Macaca mulatta: one gene and its partner. The main gene of each other region encodes a partner of the protein of the gene in region 2 in a complex. Links are inferred from orthologs where the notes say so. Each region holds a gene or a part of one and is shown on either strand. Other genes may lie near its edges.

Region 1 (9,529 bases), on a different chromosome or scaffold from region 2:
TGTAATCCATCAAACCATCCACATTCCTTAACATAAGGATTCTGGATTCTAGAACCAAGGAGCATCAGGATTAGAGTAGCTCTCAACCCCACGCGTGTACAGCGCATGGCGCCTGATGTTATGGAGCAGTCACAATCAGTACTTCACCTGATCCAAGTCTGAGAAGGATATAAGACAGGCAGGACAGAGCCAGCGTGTCATTCCTGATTAACAAACACACAGCCTAAGGCGGATTGCCAGTAAGTGAAAAAGGCAGATTCAAAGCTTCTGCCTTTAGGTGGCCAGCAGAGCTGCACGTTCACTTCCAAGACAATCTCCTGCTTCGTGAGCCCCTCCAGTACAATATTGCAGAGAAGTTCACCGTCCTCTCTGACCTGTCAGCTTTTGTGTCTCCCCAAAATTTTGTCTTCTCCAGGCCTAATGTGCCCCTCATTACTACATATTTCTCAAAAGTGAGCAAAATGATTTAAGCATATTATACTTCAATGAACTGCTGTTGTTTTTTTTTTCCGAAGTCAACAAAACCCTTCAGATGTGCTCGGAGATGGACTACCCACCTTCCTGAAACTCAAAGAAATTTGACTAATATTCCTAAGACTGCCCTAGCTTTTCTACGAGCCAAGTGAATTCATTCCCTCACTCCTGCACATTTCCTGAGAATCTAATCTGAAACACAAAGATGATACAACATGGTCCCACAGCCTTTAGGACAAGACAGTCACAACTAAAGTCTTTCATGATCTTCAGCAAGATAGATGTGCTGTATTAACAACTGAGTTTTTGAACCTAAATGCAACTATTCATGCTGTCATGTTCCTTATTTCAGGATCATCCTTGCCGTGCCCTGTGTCCTATGGCAGTTCCCCAACATGATCGTCCCCATCACAATCATGTCATTTAGGCATTTGTTATATGATCAGGAATTGAGGTAAGCATTTTACACAGTATCAGATAGGTATTAACAAGCCCCCTTTACAGATGAGAAAGTTGACACTTACAGAGACTGAGTAATTTATGCAAAATGATAGACTCAGTTTGTGTCAGAGCCTCACCAGCACACCTCAATGACAACTCTTACTGATACTCAATAATATTTCATGAATTCGGCTCAAAACCAACCCATTTATGAGAGCTCCAAAGGTTCACTGTTATCTCTGATATTCAAAATAATACTATTCCTTTGCAGTGATAAAACATACGCATGTAAAGGCTTTATTTCTTTGGCCTTTTAAAAGTATAGTTATTTTGCTGGCTTTGTCCAAATACATAGGAGGAGCTGCAGGTTAAATTGGGACATGCGCGAAACTTCCAAAAGAGCTTCCACCCAATCCAGTACATCCCACAGTGATCTCTGCAATGCCACATTTTTGTTGCGGAGGAAAAACGCAGAACCATGAGGTGACCATGACATGCAGCAATGCTAAATTATTACAACCAACAAATCAAAAATGTTATTAGACACCCGTAAACATTTTATGGTAAAAGCAGCTTTAATAACACTAATCCTTACTTCCTCTCAAATATGTGTCAGAGAAAACTGCTGATATTGAAAAGGCATGTCTATTTTCTGAGACTGAACATTGTAAACCCTTTAGTTGGAAGAATTTCTTAGACCTGTTACGTCCTAATGACTTGTTTTCTTAAAAAAAAGGAAAGTGAAACTCAGGATCACAGATAGTGATAAGCCTAAGATAGTGCACATTTTATTAAGAGTTCTTGGCCGGGCGCGGTGGCTCAAGCCTGTAATCCCAGCACTTTGGGAGGCTGAGACAGGTGGATCACGAGGTCAGGAGATTGAGACCATCCTGGCTAACACGGTGAAACCCCGTCTCTACTAAAAAATACAAAAAACTAGCTGGGCGAGGTGGCGGGCGCCTGTAGTCCCAGCTACTCGGGAGGCTGAGGCAGGAGAATGGCCTAAACCTAGGAGGAGGAGCTTGCAGTGAGCTGAGAGATCCGGCCACTGAACTCCAGCCCAGGCGACAGAGCAAGACTCCGTCTCAAAAAAAAAAAAGAGTTCTATGTATCAAATATTTTTGTCAATTAAAAATTAAAAATAAAAAGTTCCATGTAGACACCTGATTATCTACATTCTCTAGACAATTTTTTTGTCTTTCTAAAAAACAGTGGAAACATTTCTTCCTGCTCTGTCCCTCTGCCCTCCCCTACTTCCCCATCCCAGTACTGAGGTTAGGCTCGTAAAAGGCTAAGAATTCACTTTGGCTTAGTAATCAGTAGATCCCTTTCAAAATCTTAACATCAAAGATAGATGTGTCTTCCATTGTCAACCAAGACTGTATGGACTTACTAGTTCACTTCTACTTGGAAAGTACTTGATACAAGAAAAAAAAGAATTGCAAAGTCTTAACTTTGGTATTTGTCAAATTTATCTCAGTTGAAAATGTTCAATATCTGTGTTTTTACCTCTTGTTTTTACAGTCTGTTTATTTCCAAAACTCACAGGAGACTCCCAAGTGGAAACGGGGTCAACACAGCTAATCTCTGGCTTGAGTTAAAAAGCAAGACTTCTTAATCTTGGAGATGCTAATTTTTTTTCAAAAGACTATTAAGTGACTTTTTAAAAAGCCAAGTCTCAGCCCAGTGCTGTGGCTCACGCCTGTAATCCCAGCACTTTGGGAGGCCAAGGTGGGCAGGTCACCTGAGGTCGGGAGTTTGAGACCAGCCTGACCAACATGGAGAAACCCCGTCTCTACTAAAAATACAAAATTAGCCAGGTGTGGGGGCGCATGCCTGTAATCCCAGCTGCTCGGGAGGCTGAGGCAGGAGAATGAACCCAGGAAGCAGAGGTCGCAGTGAGCCGAGATTGCGACATTGCACTCCAGCCTGGGCAACAAAAGAGAAACTCCATCTCAAAAAAAAAAAAAAGCCAAGTCTAAACTTCTTTGTAATAGGAAAATACATTATATATATTAATATTTCGATAGAAATTTTTTAACTTGAGTAATTATGTAAATTAATTATATTTGCATATCAACATAGTTAACCTCTCCAATGTTATGAATAGAAAAATGAGATGATAAAAGGAAATCCAATGGACAGAAATCCATTGTAAAGGCAACAAAAGTGAAAACTGTAGAAAACTGTAAAAGCAAGAATCTTCAGTCTAAATATGACCCAGAACAAACTGTTACCCAGATAAACACTTCTATGACTGTAGCAGGAGAGAAAAGATGCACAGCTAATCAGAAGAGTTTTCACTGATAAAGAAAGGGCCCAAAAATAATGGCAGGTAATTGAGAAAGCAAATATTATAACTGGCCACAAGCAAAATCCAAAGTAACATAAGAATAAAGGTAAGTTCACTGCTCTGTTAAAAACATTTAATGCCATAGGAATAAATGACTCTTAGTTCTCTTTGGGGGAACAAAGTCACCACTCCATTCCCAGGACTTCGGTCCAAGGGAAAGAAACACACTTGAAACTCTTCCTCCCCACCCCCAAAAGAAGCACCAGGCACAGCAACCAGGGAACAGGCAAACCAGTCTCTAAAGATAAACAACCTCTCAGAGAAGGACAGTCATCCAACTACACATAAGAAAGATACATTATTAGTTACAGTTCTAAACCCTACCTCGGATTCGTGATAAGAAAAAAGACTCTGTAATTCAAACATTTCAGATACCCAGTACGCCTCAAACTACCCTGACATCTAGTCACAAAGCATTCATAGTAACCCTGACTTGGAGGTGGGATTATTGCTTATATTTTTACTACAACTCTACACAGCACAAACTATGCACCTGGTTTTCACTGAATTCAATGACTGTCTATTAAATATTCACTCCAAGCAAGCCTTTGTGGCTGATGGTCATACTTTCCCCGGTGCCGTCATCCTGTCATTCTCCTCCAGGCAGGAGAGTACTGTGTTTCAAGGAGGCTGTTGTGACCGTTTATCAGAACTCTCAAAACAAAAACAGTTGTCCAGTGGTTGAGCTTTAAACAGGAAAAATATCTGAGTACAACCTCCACATTTTTCTCATTATCCAGGCTTCTAAAGCGAAAGTTTAATTATCATTTAAAACGTGGCCTAAATGTCCACGGCAGGGAAGAGCATCGCAGCAGCCATCACTTTCTCACTGACAGTCACTGTGCTCTTACGAGTAGCTTTCGCTATTAACGTACATACAAACATAAGATGTTTTAATCTTCAAATTCAACACCACTCCAATTCCAGGAAAAAAAGCCCTGAGATGTTAGCACACTGGAGAAGCAACCATTTTACTCCTTCAGACTAGAGTTCCATTTCAGATATTAACTTACAATCACTTAGAGGGCAGACAGGAAAGGGGTAGCAGAAGGCTAAAATCCAAGGTTGTCTGGGGTCCCAATAAAGAGGTTCTGTAGCTGTTTGAGAACTTGGCTTTGCAAACTACTTTCTTAGGCCAGAGAAAAACTCCTCGGTAAACTGTTGGAATTTCACCAAAGTATCAATCACGGCAGCCCCTGGGACTAATCCGGTACTGCTGGACTTTCTTCACGCATGGTAGCCCGTATAAACACAGTATATACAGCAAGGTTCAAGCAAGTCTTGGCAAATTTTAACACTGGAGAGGAAGACTGCTTTTATTTCGCTATATTCTTGGATTAAAGGTATTTACTTAAAATAATAAACACTTCTCCGACATTATTACTGGTTAGCTCAGTTCTGAAATACTGGCAAGGTCATTTCAAGAAGAAAAACGGGAGAGGAAGAGGTATAGTTTACGTAAGATAAAATCCACACTTTTCAGTGTCCGGTTCTGAGTTTTGACAAACGCATTTATAGTGGTCTCATCAGCACCACAATCAGGCTACGAAGAGAGAGGTAACTCTTCGAGGATTCTTAAAAGCAAAATTAATTTGTCAGCATACTTTAAAAGTATTTTTGAAATATCACCTTATTTATTTAGAAAAGCAAAATAACACGGTCCGAGTGGTCCTAAGCCGTGAATGCCTCTGCAATACTTAAATGCCCTCCTCCCAACCCCGGCCCGACGAGGGTGAGCCCCGCAGCCAGTGGCGCGCGTCACTGTCGGCTCCTTTTCCCGAGTGGAGACGGGGGAAAGACAGAGTTGCATCGCCAGGCTGGAGCCACGAGGAGAAGAGTTTAACGCCGGAATGACAAACTCTAAAGCACTGAATGCCTCTCCCTGGTAGGGCACTGCGCGTGTGGAGCACGGCCAGGGACGCGTGGGAAGAAAGACGACCTATTTCCTACGACCGTCTTCCTAACTGGACCGAGCGGGAGGAGGCGGGGGCTGGTCCCCGGGCACCCCGGTGGGCACCGAGAACTCGCAGAGAGGAACATAAAACCGCACGGCCTTCCCCGAGCAGCGGGGAGACGGGAGGAAGGAAGGAAATGAGAGCTCGACCCGGCCGCGCGCCGAGCCGAGCCGACCAGCCCGAGGGACCAGGGCCCCACCCGAGAGCAGGAGCGAGGGCCGGGGACAGGAGACCAAGCGCGGGGAGAGCGCTGCCTGCACCTGCCACCACCTCGAGACCGGGTGGCGCGAGGCCCGGGAGCGTGGGCGGCAGAGGGGACCGGGCAGCGGCGAGAGCGCGCCTCCCGCCCCGCAGGGCGCCCGGGCAGAGGCCGACCGGAGCCCTCCGACCCCGCCGGGCCCTCCCCGCCCAGGCACCCGAGCGCACACCTGCCCCCTTCAAGCCCTGGGCCCAGAGCGGCAAGCGGAGACCCTGGCGGGGGCGCGGGCCGGACTTCGGCCGAGGGGCGCTGGCCAGGGCGAGGGACGGCCTCGTAGAGCTCGGAGACGCAGCGCGAGTTTTCCCCGCAGCCCGCGGGCCGCGCGCGCGCAGAGACCGCCGCCAGCACTCACCTGCCCGCTTCCCTTAGCGCAGCGGGAACGACGCACTCCGGCCCGGACCCCGCCGTCCGCCTCAACCAACCCCCAGGCGGTGGCGGCGGTGGCGGCGGCGGCGGCGGCCGGACGGGAGGGGCGGGACGGCAGCCTGAGACGGCCCCGCTGCCGCGGCCCAACCCTGCTCCGCCCGCCCCGGACCCCGCCCCCGGGCCGCCGCCGCCGCTGCTCATTGGTCCACACCTCGGACGCATGGGCGCGGCCCCGCCCCGCCGCCCAGCCGGCGTTCCGTCCGGGGTCCTCCCCAGCCAGTGGGCTGGCGGCTCCCGGGGACGAGAGCGGCCGGCTCAGCGGCCGCCAACCCCGAAGTCGCAATTGGCTGCGTTCGCCCCCGCCAGAGCTCTGATTGGACGAATCTCGACCCGGGCCCCGCCTACGCGCCCAAGTTCCGTTAGCAGGTTCGGTTGCTCCAGAATGCCTTTTTGCTCCAAGGGGCGGGACCGACGGGATGGGCCCTGTGACTGGCTCCTCCCCCTGCACGCAGCAGCCACTGTCCCGCGGGGCGGGCGGGCGGGCGGGGAGGAGAGCGGCGGCTTGTTCCTCTTTTGAGAGCTCTGCTTTCTTCCCATTGGTTGACAGGCATCCTACTCTCTCCGCCCCTCCGGTCGCTTGGTTTTCGTCTCAAGACGCAGCGTGATGACGTAGTTCCCCGACATTCCACATGCAAGATGGCCGCAGTACGCAAGGAGAGACGTCGCTAAGGGGCTTGCCTGAAGCGAGAGGTGAGTGACCCACCGACTGCGGGCAGCACCGCCCACCTCCCGCGTATCTGGAGGTCAGAGTAGGTTATGGTCAACCGCCGCCATCCACTGGCGGAGTCTCTCTTTCCGGATTCTGCCTCCCTCCGCTAACCTCCGGTACACATTGAACTTAGCGGGCGGCGCGGGGCTGTGGGGCGGGCGTGTAGAGAGGGTCTGAGGCGCCGGGGCGGGGCAGGGAGGCCGGGCTCAGTCTAGAACTGGTAGCGGCCCTCGCACTGGGGAGCAGTCAGAGTTCGGGGACTTTCTAGGGGTTGGACAAAAGGGGCAGGGGTGTTAACCGCGCAGTCTCACAGCCACAGACTGCTCATATCTCCCCGATTATTTCGCGGCGTATTAGTCCCAACCTTGGCTAGGCCTGAGACTTTTTGGAGGTTGTTCCATGTCTAGGGTACTCCGACTTTGGAGTTTTGAAGAGCCACGTAACGAGGGTGCGACTAAGAATGAGGAAAAGGCACTTCCGCGGTTAGATTTAGTTGTTGCCGAGACATCGTCTTTACGGACGCGCTCCTGGTGGTTGCTTTGGTTTGTTATGAGAGAAATTGTTCTTTAGAAAATTGGAGCGTAAATCTAGAGGTTATCTGACAGCTCCTAAACTATTGTCTGCCCAAGATAGGCTCGGTAGTGCTCGCTAAATTTAGATTGCCAGTTAAACGGAGCTTTTGCTAAGTCATCTGAGGTTAGGAACTTCTAAGCATTTCTTAAGGGTGGTCTATGTTTTTAAGGGAAACTTGGTGATGTTTGTGTATCTCGATGTAAATCGCTGTTTACAGATATCTAGCACAATGCCTTGCAATTGTAGGTGCCCACTAAAAGTTTGTATGAATGATGTTGCTAGAATGAAAGCGAGGAGCTTTCAGCGCCTGGAACACTGCCTGACGTTTAATAAGCCCTCCGTATTGCTGAATGAAAGAATGGATAGATGGTGGTAATGGTAATAGTATTGATAGACATCTGGATTAAAGTTATGCCCTTAGGATGCTTACCTGTTAAATAATCTTGACTATGAATATAGTAATTATCCGAGATTGTTTTATTCAGAGCGACTACCACTGCTGTCTTTTAGGGTTTTTTCCCCCTCTTGTATCTCATTTCGATTATACTGTGATGCAGTATTCCAGCATATTAGTCGATTTCTAGGCAAATCCTGTTTAAATTTGTTCCATTTTGAAAATGTAGGTTGCACCAACAAGCAATAAAAACTATTCGAGTTGTTAATGAGGTTCTTAAATGTTAAATGCTGTTTCTAAAATTGAATGTCATAAAGAAAAATTGGTCATAGCCGTGGCCTATAAAATGGGCTAGTTCATTTTAGGACGTTATATTTGAAAGCAGTGACTCTGCTTAGTGTCTAAAAGGGAGGACAGTGTTTTCTGCTTGTTTTCTTTAAAACTGGATGAGGACAAAAAAATCTAGAGGAATTAAATTCAAGGTAATTGAGGAGATTACAGAGTGATCATATTTTTAAGCTCAGGTAAATTGTATACCAGAGTATTTGCAGATGACTTTATAAAATCATTATTCATAAATTTTGAAAAATCCTAAAAGTGCAGTTAATGATAGAAGACTAGAGTCTGGTAAATGTCTCAGTTTTCACACAGAACCATTCGATGGCCCTTGGCTGCTAGGAACCTATTAATAAACTTTTAGAATCTGGTTGGAAGAGCCAACAAGTTTATGAGTACTTGGGAAAGGAGAGCTGATTCCCTGAAGCCAACAGAGCTTCAATAAGAAAAGGCCAGGTGAGGCCAGAGGTGGTGGCTCACGCTTATAATACCAGTACTCTGGGAGGCCAAAGCTGGAGGATCACTGAAGCTCAGGAGTTCAAGACCATCCTGGGCAACATAGTGAGACCTCATCACTAAAAAAAAATAAAAAAATTAGCCAGATGTGGAGGTGCATGCCTGTGGTAGCTAGGGAGACTGAGGCAGGAGGATCATTTGAGTTAGAGATCAAGGCTGCAGTGAGTCGTGATCACGTGACTGCACTCCAGCCTGGGCGACAGAGCAAGACCCTGTTTCAAGAAAAAGCCAGGTGACACAAATCATTTCCTTTTGTTACTAGACTGGTGGTGATTGGGGATTGCTGGACGTAAGTTCGTTTAAGTTTATTTAGGACACAGTCTTCCAACAAGATTCTAATACTGTGTCTAGATACAAGAGTTAAATATGCATTGGATAAGGTGTGGTTAGATGGATTGATATCCATGCAAATTACCAACCCCAAAATGTTGATTAATGGGTTGATGTAAACCTGAAGAGTTGTCTTTGGAGATATGCTACAGGACTCTGGTGTTGCCCTTGCTCTGATTAACACTTTTTTTTTTTTTTTGAAACGGAGTCTTGCTCTGTCGCCCAGGCTGGAGTGCAGTGGCCTGATCTCAGCTCACTGCAAGCTCCGCCTCCCGGGTTCACGCCATTCTCCTGCCTCAGCCTCTCGAGTAGCTGGGACTACAGGCGCCTGCCACCTCGCCCGGCTAGGTTTTTTTTTTTTTTTTTTTGTAGTTTTAGTAGAGACGGGGTTTCACTGTGTTCACCAGGATGGTCTCGATCTCCTGACCTCGTGATCCACCCGTCTCGGCCTCCCAAAGTGCTGGGATTACAGGCTTGAGCCACCGCACCCGGCCTCTGATTAACACTTTTTTATTACCAACTTTAAATATATAAACAGCATGATTCTCAAGTTAATAAATGCACTCAAACCATGTAGTGATAATCAGCCACACATTAGATGACACTCAGAAATCAAAGAGTTCTTAAAGGCTGGAATATAATAATAGGCCAGAACCAACCAGATATAAATTTACTAGGTGAGATCGTCTCAAAAATTTTTTTTAAATAAATAAATTTAGTTGGTGTGATTACATTTACAAAAACTCAGTTTTCCTGGCTTGAG
Region 2 (9,543 bases):
AGGAGTCTGGATGTCTCCCTCTGTAGATCACGAAGAAACTGGCCGAGAGGCCACGGGATGGCACTGTCTGCAGTCACAAGGCAGAATCCAGACCTCAGCCCACAGCTAACCAGAGCTGTCTGCAGACCAGATATGGCCCCATGGATCCCCCAACCCAACTGACTGTGATTCCAGGTTCCCCAGTCTGGGTGAATAGGCAGGAATCCCAGCCTTTCCTCAGCCTATGGGAGCCTGGGCCAGGCTGACCCTCAAAGGTGACCGACAGCCACCACTCCATATGGTGAAGGCAAAGGTGTGGCAGCTACGAACACCCACTACACCCCCACTCAAGGGAACACCATGCTAAAAGTTGACCCTCAGGGAGTTCCACTCCCAGAAAATCCAGGTGCCAACCAACCCCAATGAGAAATGGCACCTGGGCCACCAGACACCCCAAAACAGCATTTTCCACCTCAAGCATTTTCCTCAAGCGTTTTCCACCTCAAACCATTTCCACCTCAAGCATATGCACTGAGTACCAGAGAAACTAGGGTACCTGGGAATGGGTGGAAGGGCCAGGACAGGAACTCCCCAGTAAGCAGAAACAGAGACCTGAATCCTGAATCTTCCCCCACCCTCTAAGGCTGCTCAATGTCAAGGCGGAAGGGACCTTGGCCCACCTCCACTCTAGGTAAGGACAAGTTGGCCCCCACCACCCCACCCTTCAAGGATCACCCTCCACTGCCCACAACCCAGTCATGCCACAAAGTCACTCTTGGCCTCATTTGTAAGGTGTGCACTTTTATTCAACTGGTCTCAAGTCAGTGTACAGGTAAGCCCTGGCTGCCTCCACCCACTCCCAGGGAGACCAAAAGCCTTCAGACATCTCAAGTTGGGGGACAAAAAGAGGGGGCATGAAGGCTCATTATTCAAAATAAAACAAAATAAAAAAGTATTAAGGCGAAGATTAAAAAAATTTTGCATTACATAATTTACACGAAAGCAATGCTATCACCTCCCCTGTGTGGACTCGGGAGAGGACTGGGCCATTCTCCTTAGAGAGAAGTGGGGTGGCTTTTAGGAGGGCAAGGGACTTCCTGTAACAATGCATCTCATATTTGGAATGACTATTAAAAAAAAGAACAATGTACAATCAAAGTCCTCGGCCACATTGTAGAACTTTGGGGGATGCTCGCTCCAACCGACTGCTGTCACCTTCACCGTTCCAGTTTTTAAATCCTGAGTCAAGCCAAAAAAAAACCAAAACAAAACAAAAAAAACAAATAAAGCCATGCCAATCTCATCTTGTTTTCTGCGCAAGTTAGGTTTTGTCAAGAAAGGGTGTAACGCAACTAAGTCACAGTCCGCCTAGAAGCATTTGCGGTGGACGATGGAAGGGCCAGACTCGTCATACTCCTGCTTGCTGATCCACATCTGCTGGAAGGTGGACAGCGAGGCCAGGATGGAGCCGCCGATCCACACAGAGTACTTGCGCTCAGGAGGAGCAATGATCTGAGGAGGGAAGGAAACAAACAGGCAGTGAGAACCCCGGATGTGACAGCTCCCCACACACCACAGGGCCCCATGGCCCACCTGCCCAGGTCAGCTCAGGGTGGAAGGACACCCACCTTGATCTTCATCGTGCTGGGCGCCAGGGCAGTAATCTCCTTCTGCATCCTGTCAGCAATGCCAGGGTACATGGTGGTGCCACCAGACAGCACTGTGTTGGCGTACAGGTCTTTACGGATGTCCACGTCACACTTCATGATGGAGTTGAAGGTAGTTTCGTGGATGCCACAGGACTCCATGCCTGAGGAAGAAATGAGGGCGGACTTAGCTTCCACAGCACAGCCCGAAGGGTGACCCTCAGGTCAGGCAGGGCCGGGAGGCGGGTCTCCACTCACCCAGGAAGGAAGGTTGGAAGAGAGCCTCAGGGCAGCGGAACCGCTCGTTGCCAATGGTGATGACCTGGCCATCGGGCAGCTCGTAGCTCTTCTCCAGGGAGGAGCTGGAAGCCGCCGTGGCCATCTCCTGCTCGAAGTCTAGGGCGACATAGCACAGCTTCTCCTTAATGTCACGCACGATTTCCCGCTCGGCCGTGGTGGTGAAGCTGTAGCCGCGCTCAGTGAGGATCTTCATGAGGTAGTCAGTCAGGTCCCGGCCAGCCAGGTCCAGACGCAGGATGGCATGGGGGAGGGCATACCCCTCGTAGATGGGCACAGTGTGGGTGACCCCGTCACCGGAGTCCATCACGATGCCAGTGGTACGGCCAGAGGCGTACAGGGACAGCACAGCCTGGATGGCCACGTACATGGCTGGGGTGTTGAAGGTCTCAAACATGATCTGTAAGGAAGAAATGCACCATGTCACACTCAGGAAGCTACTGGGACAGCCAGGCCAGATGGGGGACATGCAGGAAGTGCAAAGAACACTGCTAAGTGTGCTGGGGTCTTGGGATGGGGATTCTGTTCAGACCTACTGTGCACCTACTGAATACACACTCCAAGGCCGCTTTACACCAGCCTCATGGGCTTGTCACACGAGCCAATGTTAGTACCTATACCCACAGCACTGTCTGTTTTAGACACCTAGTCAGAGAGGCAAACACCAGAAAAAGAGCTCATCTGGGAAAAAGCAAATAGAACCTGCAGAGTTCCAAAGGAGACTCAGGTCAGAGAAGAGAGTCCTACGAAGAACGGCAGAAGAGAGAACCAGTGAGAAAGGGCGCAGCTCCGGGAGACCAGGAAAGAGGGCGGTGGCCACCACAAGAGGTAGCGGGCCACTTACCTGGGTCATCTTCTCGCGGTTGGCCTTGGGGTTCAGGGGGGCCTCGGTCAGCAGCACGGGGTGCTCCTCAGGAGCCACACGCAGCTCATTGTAGAAGGTGTGGTGCCAGATCTTCTCCATGTCGTCCCAGTTGGTGACGATGCCGTGCTCGATGGGGTACTTCAGGGTGAGAATGCCTCTCTTGCTCTGGGCCTCGTCGCCCACATACGAATCCTTCTGACCCATGCCCACCATCACGCCCTAGGAAAGAAAAAACAAGGCGCCCTAAGCACGGGCGCGGCCCCCACCCCAGAAACCGGGAGACCCCCGTGCAGAGAAAGCGCCCTCGCCTCCCGCCCGCTCCCGGGCCCGCCCCACCCACCCAGCTCCCCTACCTGGTGCCTGGGGCGCCCCACGATGGAGGGGAAGACGGCCCGGGGGGCATCGTCGCCCGCGAAGCCGGCCTTGCACATGCCGGAGCCGTTGTCGACAACGAGCGCGGCGATATCATCATCCATGGCGAGCTGCGGGAAAGCCGGGCGCTCTGTGAGCCGAGGTGGCCCCCGCCCTGCCCACTTCCGGCGCGCCGAGGCCTTAGGCCGCCAGGGGGCGCAGGCGCGCGCCCAGATTGGGGACAAAGGAAGCCGGGCCGGCCGCGTTATTACCATAAAAGGCAAACACTGGTCGGAGGCGTCCCCACCGCGCGCGGCAGGAAGCCAGGCCCCCACCCCCTCCCAACCGGGAGCCGGCCCCGCCTCCGCTCCGTTCAAATAGCGCCGGGTCGGCGCGCGCGCGCGCGGCGGCCACACCCTCAGGCGGCCGGCGGCGCGGGCAGGAAGTGCGCGCAAGCGCCCTGGAGCCTCCGCGACCCCACCCCTTCCGGCGGGGCCAGCCCTTGCCCCAGCCCAGGCCGCGGCACCCGGGCCCCAGAACGCACGCGCAATTAGCGCCTGGAGTCCCAGCGCGCACGCGCAACTAGCGCCGATTCCCAGCGCGCACGCAGAGTTAGCGCCCCAAGCCCCAGGACGCACGCGCAATGGCGCCCCAGCCCCCCACCGAGCCTGGCGGGGGGGCTCCGCCGCGCCCACCCTGCAGTTCCCACTGGCAAGAAGCCGGCTCGGACAAAGACCCCGCCGGCTGCCCCCATCCCGAGAGCAGCACCCCCAGAGCGCGCCTCCCGAGCAGGGCCCCGCGCCGCCAAACTGAAGCGGGGTGTCCCCACATCTCTGGAGGCCCAGGGGCTTCTCCCGCGTCCCCCACTGCAGTCCAGTCCCCACATGCGACCCCCGCTGCGGCGCAGGCGGCTCTACACAGGCGAAGGGGCCGCGGCCTTAGGCAGCCGAGCCGGGAGCCGCCTACCAGGGTCGGCTGGCCGGGCTTACCTGGCGGCGGGTGTGAACAGGCGGCGGAGCGGCAAAGGCGAGGCTCTGTGCTCGCGGGGCGGACGCGGTCTCGGCGGTGGAGGCGCGTCGCGCCGCCGGGTTTTATAGGGCGCCGCTGCGGCCGCTCGAGCCATAAAAGGCAACTTTCGGAACGGCGCGCGCTGATTGGCCCCGCGCCGCTCACTCACCGGCCTCGCCGCACAGTGCAGCATTTTTTTACCCCCTCTCCCCTCCTTTTGCGAAAAAAAAAAAAAGAGCGAGAGCGAGATTGAGGAAGAGGAGGAGGGAGAGTTTTGGCGTTGGCCGCCTTGGGGTGCTGGGCCCGGGGGTTGGGGGCGCGCGCGGTGGCCCCCGCACCCCACGCTGGGCAGTGCCCGGTTCGGCCCCGCATGGCCAGGCCTGTCCCCGGCCTGCCCGTCTCTCGGGCCCCCCACCCACCGCGGGACATTCTAGGTGTGGACATCTCTTGGGCACTGAGCGCCCAGGTCGGGTGGGCCAGGGTCTGCACGGGTGCCAGGGTCCTGGGTGCTGTGCGCTCCTGCAGAAGGAGCCCTTGAAGGGCATGGAGTGGCCAGGCAGTCACTCCCCCTTGCCGACTTCAGAGCAACTGCCCTGAAAGCAGGTCTCGGGACCTCTGGCTATGGGGCTCAGCTAGCTAAATGGGCTGGGTGGGTCACTAGGGAGAGACTTGGGCTTGAGAGGTAGAGTGTGGTGTTGGGGGAGTCAGGGGCCTCGCGGCCACTTAGAAGTCGCAGGACCACACTGCCCAGGACAGGGCAGGCGCCAGCGGTCCAGTGGCTTGAGGTGGCCTGTGATGAAAGCTGCAAACCCACCCAGCCACGGCCCTGGGAAGGTGGGCTCTACGGGGCAGGGAAAGTTTCCCCAGGAGCTGCTGCTTCTGAGGGTAACGCGGTCACGCCCAGCCAAGACCAGGCCTGGGGCGTTAGTGGGTGACCCAGGCAGCTCCAGGCACTGCGGGGTGTGGGGGCTGGGTCTACACAGCCTGGGTCTGCGCCCACCGTTCATTGCATGTCTGCTATGCGCAGCCACAGCTGAACTGCCCTCCCAGACCATCTGGAGGCCGCGGGGGGACTCTGGGGACCAAGACTCCATGTGCCAGAGAGGATTGGGGGCGGGGCGGGGTAGGAGCTCAAAGCCAGCCTGGGAAGACCCTCTCCTTGTCACCCTTTCTTGCCTCGGGTCTGTCCACTCAGTAGCACACAAGACCCGGGTGGCTAGGGTCGTTCTGCTCTGGGAATCAGAGACTGTATGTACCCAGCTGGTGGACATGCAGTGATCAGTGGCGTGGGACCACAGAGGGGCATTCAGCTCAACCTAGAGGAACATGCCCTTCTCCTCCTCCCCCTCCTTGGAGGTGGTGACAAGAAGCTGGATTTTTACACAAAAATAGGAAGGGTGGTGAGGTGGGGGCACGTCAGGCCTTCAGGGGGCTTTGCAGCACGTAGTAGGTGTTCGTTGAGTGTGTGTTGCAACAGGCAAAGATGAGTCCATATAAGGACGTGGAACCTGTGGCCTTGTTCCAGTTCACGGTACAAGGCTGTGCTCAGTCAGTGGGACCCACTCCTCCCTCGAAGGTTGCAGAGGCCACAGCCTGGTGGGAAAGATGACCACCACCCAGCACACAGTGGCAGACACAGGTTCACAGTCCAGAAGGCTTGCTAGGCCTCCTCCATCACCACCCCACGCAAGGGCAAACTTTCCCAGCCTGTATACTCCCTGCCTCCTGGGGATGGGACTGTCCTGTGCCTGGCCTTGTATCTTTCAGCTGCAGGCGTCTTGCCACCTGCCTCAGGACCTGCCAACCCTACAGTTCACCAGGCCGGCGTTGTGGGGCGATGGGCGGGGGGGACCTTTTTGCTGCCTGTTGATGAGGGCTGGTTCTGGGGGTTCCTCAAAGGTTGAACTGGGTGGAGTGCTGTGGGAGGTGGGGATGGGACCGGATCTGCAGAGCAAGGATGGGAGGCTGTTGGGTGGGTGGCTCCAGGCAACAAGGTAGGGTGCAGAGCAGACCTGATCCCCAGGCAGGACCTGTGCTGCCACTGGGCCTCTACTCAGCTGGCCAAGAGACAGAAGCTCCAGCCCCACCCCACCCCAGGCTGCAGCCTTCCTGGCCTGTCCTCCTGGCTTGTGGTTCCCTCTGTCTGCAGCGGCCACTTCTTGGTGCTCTCCTATGCACCCTTCAAGTCCCATCCCAGAAAGTCCGTCTTTAGGGAAACCTTTTAGCCTCTGCAACCATGCCTTCCTCCCTACCTCAGACCAAGGCTTGCAGCTGGCATTTAGAACTGGGCCTCACCCACCAGGCTGCGAGCCCTCCCAGGGTCTCCATCACCCCCACTCCTTCCCACCACACCCACCCCAGGGCTCCTCGCTGTTGAATGAGTGACTGCCTGGATGTCCTCAGATGGCAGGTTGGAGGTGGCCAAGCAGCCTGGGGTGAGGGGCAGGGAGGAGCTGAAGAGAGAAAGCAAGCAGCGGAGCAGGAAAAGAGGAAGTAGAACTGGCTGGCCAGGGGGCGGGCTGAGCAGGGGAGAAGTGAATAGGTTCTCTTCTGCGCTTGGGAACTTTGCCCTGGAAGGGAGTTTTCGGAGCTGTCACTTGGGTATGCACGCATTCCCCAGAGAACCCTCGGTTGAACTCAGCCAAGGGGACTCCACCTGCCTGGCTGGGGCTTTTGTTTTTTCCCCTCCAAGCCTTTGCTTTGTTGACGCCCCCACCCTGCAAGGCCTCCAGGCAACCGACTCTTACAGCCCAGACCCAGGGACCCCTCCTTGGCCCTCCCGCAAAACCACCGCCCAGCCACCTTGCCCTGGGCACTGAAGCCCCCTCCCTACCCTGCCAAGAGGGAATCCAGCCTCCTTTTTATTACCTTTTTTTTTTTTTTTTTTTTGATACCAGGTCTTGCTCTGATGCCCAGGCTGGAGTGCGGTCACAGCTCACTGCAGCCTTGACCTCCTGGGCTCAAAGCCCTCACAAGTAGCTAGGACTGTAGGCACACACTTCCGTGCCTGGCTAATTTTTAAATTATCTGTAGAGTTCGCGCTTCTCACCATGTTGCCCGGGCTGGTCTCCAGCTCCTGGGGACTCAAGTGATCCTCCCACCTCAGCCTCCCAAAGTCCTGGGATTACAGGCATGAGCCACCATGCCCGTCCTCAAGCTCCATTTTTTAGAGGAAGGAACTGAGACAAAGCTTCCCTCCTAGACTTGAGTTAGCTCCAGGAGGATGGGCACAGTTCAGCACCCTGAACACAGTAGGTGCTTGTGAGAGGATAATGAATGAGTGAGTGAATGATTGAGGGGGTGCAACATTCCAGGAGACACACCCCCATTCACAGACTAGGAAACTGAGTCAGGACTGGTGAAGTGCTCAAGTCCCCAAATGTGGTGGGAAGGACTCTGGGCTCAGGGCCCCAGAGGTGGCAGCCCCGCCTCCTGTCTCACACTACCCCTCCCTAGTAAAGTGTCCCCTGGAATGTCCCCAAGGCCCAAGTCCAAAGGCTGTTTGAAAGTCTGAATTCCTGGGCCCCACCTCCCTCCTCAGCATTTATCACCTGAGGCCCAGAGAGGACACCATCAGCCTGTGGTCACACAGCAACAACTGGGGGCCCTCCGGCTGGGGTGTGATGGTTTATACCTGTAATCCCAGCATTTTGGGAGGCCAAGGAGGGAGGATCGCTTGAGCCTAGGAGTTGGAGACCAGCTTGGGCAACATGGGAGATCCCACCTCTACAAAATTAGCTGGGTGTTGTGGCACATGCCTGTACTCCCAGCTAATTGGGAGGCTGGGGCAGGAGGATTGCTTGAGCTTGGAAGGTCAAGGCTATAGTGAACTATGATCAGGTCACTGCATTCCAGCTTGGGTGACAGAGGAAGACTCTGTCTCAAAAAAAAAAAAGGAAATTTAAATTTAAAAATTGGATGCTCGGCCGGGCGTGGTGGCTCAAGCCTGTAATCCCAGCACTTTGGGAGGCCGAGACGGGCGGATCACGAGGTCAGGAGATCGAGACCATCCTGGCTAACATGGTGAAACCCCGTCTCTACTAAAAAATACAAAAAACTAGCCGGGCGAGGTGGTGGGCGCCTGTAGTCCCAGCTACCCGGGAGGCTGAGGCAGGAGAATGGCGTGAACCTGGGAGGCGGAGCTTGCAGTGAGCTGAGATCCGGCCACTGCACTCTAGCCTGGGTGACAAAGCGAGACTCCGTCTCAAAAAAAAAAATTAAAATTAAAAAAAATAAAATAAATAAAAATTGGGTGCTCTAGGCCAGGCGTGGTGGCTCACACCTGTAATCCCTGCACTTTGGGAGGCCAAGGCGGGTGGATCACCTGAGGTCAGGAATTCAAGACCAGCCTGGCCAACATGATGAAACCTTGTCTCTACTAAAAATACAAAATATTAGCTGGGTGTAGTGGCGCATGCCTGTAATCCCAGCTACTCAGGAGGCTGAGGCAGGAGAATCACTTGAACCCGGGAGGCAGAAGTTGCAGTGAGCCAAGATTGCACCATTGCACCCAGCCTGGGCAACCAGAGCAAAACTCTGTCTCAAAAAAAAATAAAAATAAAAAAGAAGTTGGGTGCTCCAGCTTTTATTTTTATTTTATTTTTTTTTTTTGAGACGGAGTCTCGCTCTGTCACCCAGGCTGGAGTGCAGTGGCCGGACCTCAGCTCACTGCAAGCTCCGCCTCCCGGGTTCCCGCCATTCTCCTGCCTCAGCCTCCCGAGTAGCTGGGACCACAGGCGCCCGCCACCTCGCCCGGCTAGTTTTTTGTATTTTTTTAGTAGAGACGGGGTTTCACCGTGTTAGCCAGGATGGTCTCGATCTCCTGACCTCGTGATCCGCCCGTCTCGGCCTCCCAAAGTGCTGGGATTACAGGCTTGAGCCACCGCGCCCGGCCAGTGCTCCAGCTTTTATTCATTTAAAAATAAAATAGCGGCCGGGCGCGGTGGCTCAAGCCTGTAATCCCAGCACTTTGGGAGGCCGAGACGGGCGGATCACGAGGTCAGGAGATCGAGACCATCCTGGCTAATACGGTGAAACCCCGTCTCTACTAAAAATACAAAAAAAAACTAGCCGGGCGAGGTGGCGGGCGCCTGTGGTCCCAGCTACTCGGGAGGCTGAGGCAGGAGAATGGCGGGAACCCGGGAGGCGAAGCTTGCAGTGAGCTGAGGTCCGGCCACTGCACTCCAGCCCGGGCGACAGAGCGAGACTCCGTCTTAAAAAAAATAAAATAAAATAAAATAAAAATAAAATAAAATAGCTGGGCACAGTGGCTCACACCTGTAATCCCAGCATTTTGGGAGGCTGAGGCAGGAGGATGTCTTAAGTCCAGGAGTTCAAGACCAATCTGAGCAGCATGGTGAAACCCTGTTTCTACCAAAAAATAAGACAAAAATTAGC

Evidence for each region. The genes of interacting proteins can lie anywhere in the genome.
Region 1: the proteins of ACTB (region 2) and SETD3 are in contact, whole or in part, in a crystal structure (PDB 6ICT), measured with the Homo sapiens proteins. The link is inferred for Macaca mulatta from reciprocal best matches to the Homo sapiens genes ACTB and SETD3. Residues at the interface, in NP_001092.1 of Homo sapiens: Leu67, Lys68, Tyr69, Pro70, Ile71, Glu72, His73, Gly74, Ile75, Val76, Thr77, Asn78, Trp79, Asp80, Asp81, Met82, Lys84; in NP_115609.2 of Homo sapiens: Cys36, Ser37, Ile148, Ala151, Met152, Asn154, Ile155, Asn212, Arg215, Gln216, Val248, Val251, Met252, Thr253, Arg254, Gln255, Asn256, Gln257, Ile258, Pro259, Leu268, Ile271, Trp274, Asp275, Cys277, Ile284, Thr285, Thr286, Gly287, Tyr288.

The regions. Positions count from the first base shown.
Region 1 is NC_133412.1:172,798,551-172,808,079, forward strand, and holds the start of SETD3 (actin-histidine N-methyltransferase), read right to left. Parts: upstream 5,942-9,529; 5' UTR 5,835-5,941; intron 1-5,834. UniProt on the Homo sapiens protein: Protein-histidine N-methyltransferase that specifically mediates 3-methylhistidine (tele-methylhistidine) methylation of actin at 'His-73'. Histidine methylation of actin is required for smooth muscle contraction of the laboring uterus during delivery.
Region 2 is NC_133408.1:43,743,398-43,752,940, forward strand, and holds ACTB (actin, cytoplasmic 1), read right to left. Parts: upstream 4,146-9,543; 5' UTR 4,128-4,145; intron 3,270-4,127; 5' UTR 3,264-3,269; coding exon 3,141-3,263; intron 3,007-3,140; coding exon 2,767-3,006; intron 2,323-2,766; coding exon 1,884-2,322; intron 1,790-1,883; coding exon 1,608-1,789; intron 1,492-1,607; coding exon 1,348-1,491; 3' UTR 918-1,347; downstream 1-917. UniProt on the Homo sapiens protein: Actin is a highly conserved protein that polymerizes to produce filaments that form cross-linked networks in the cytoplasm of cells.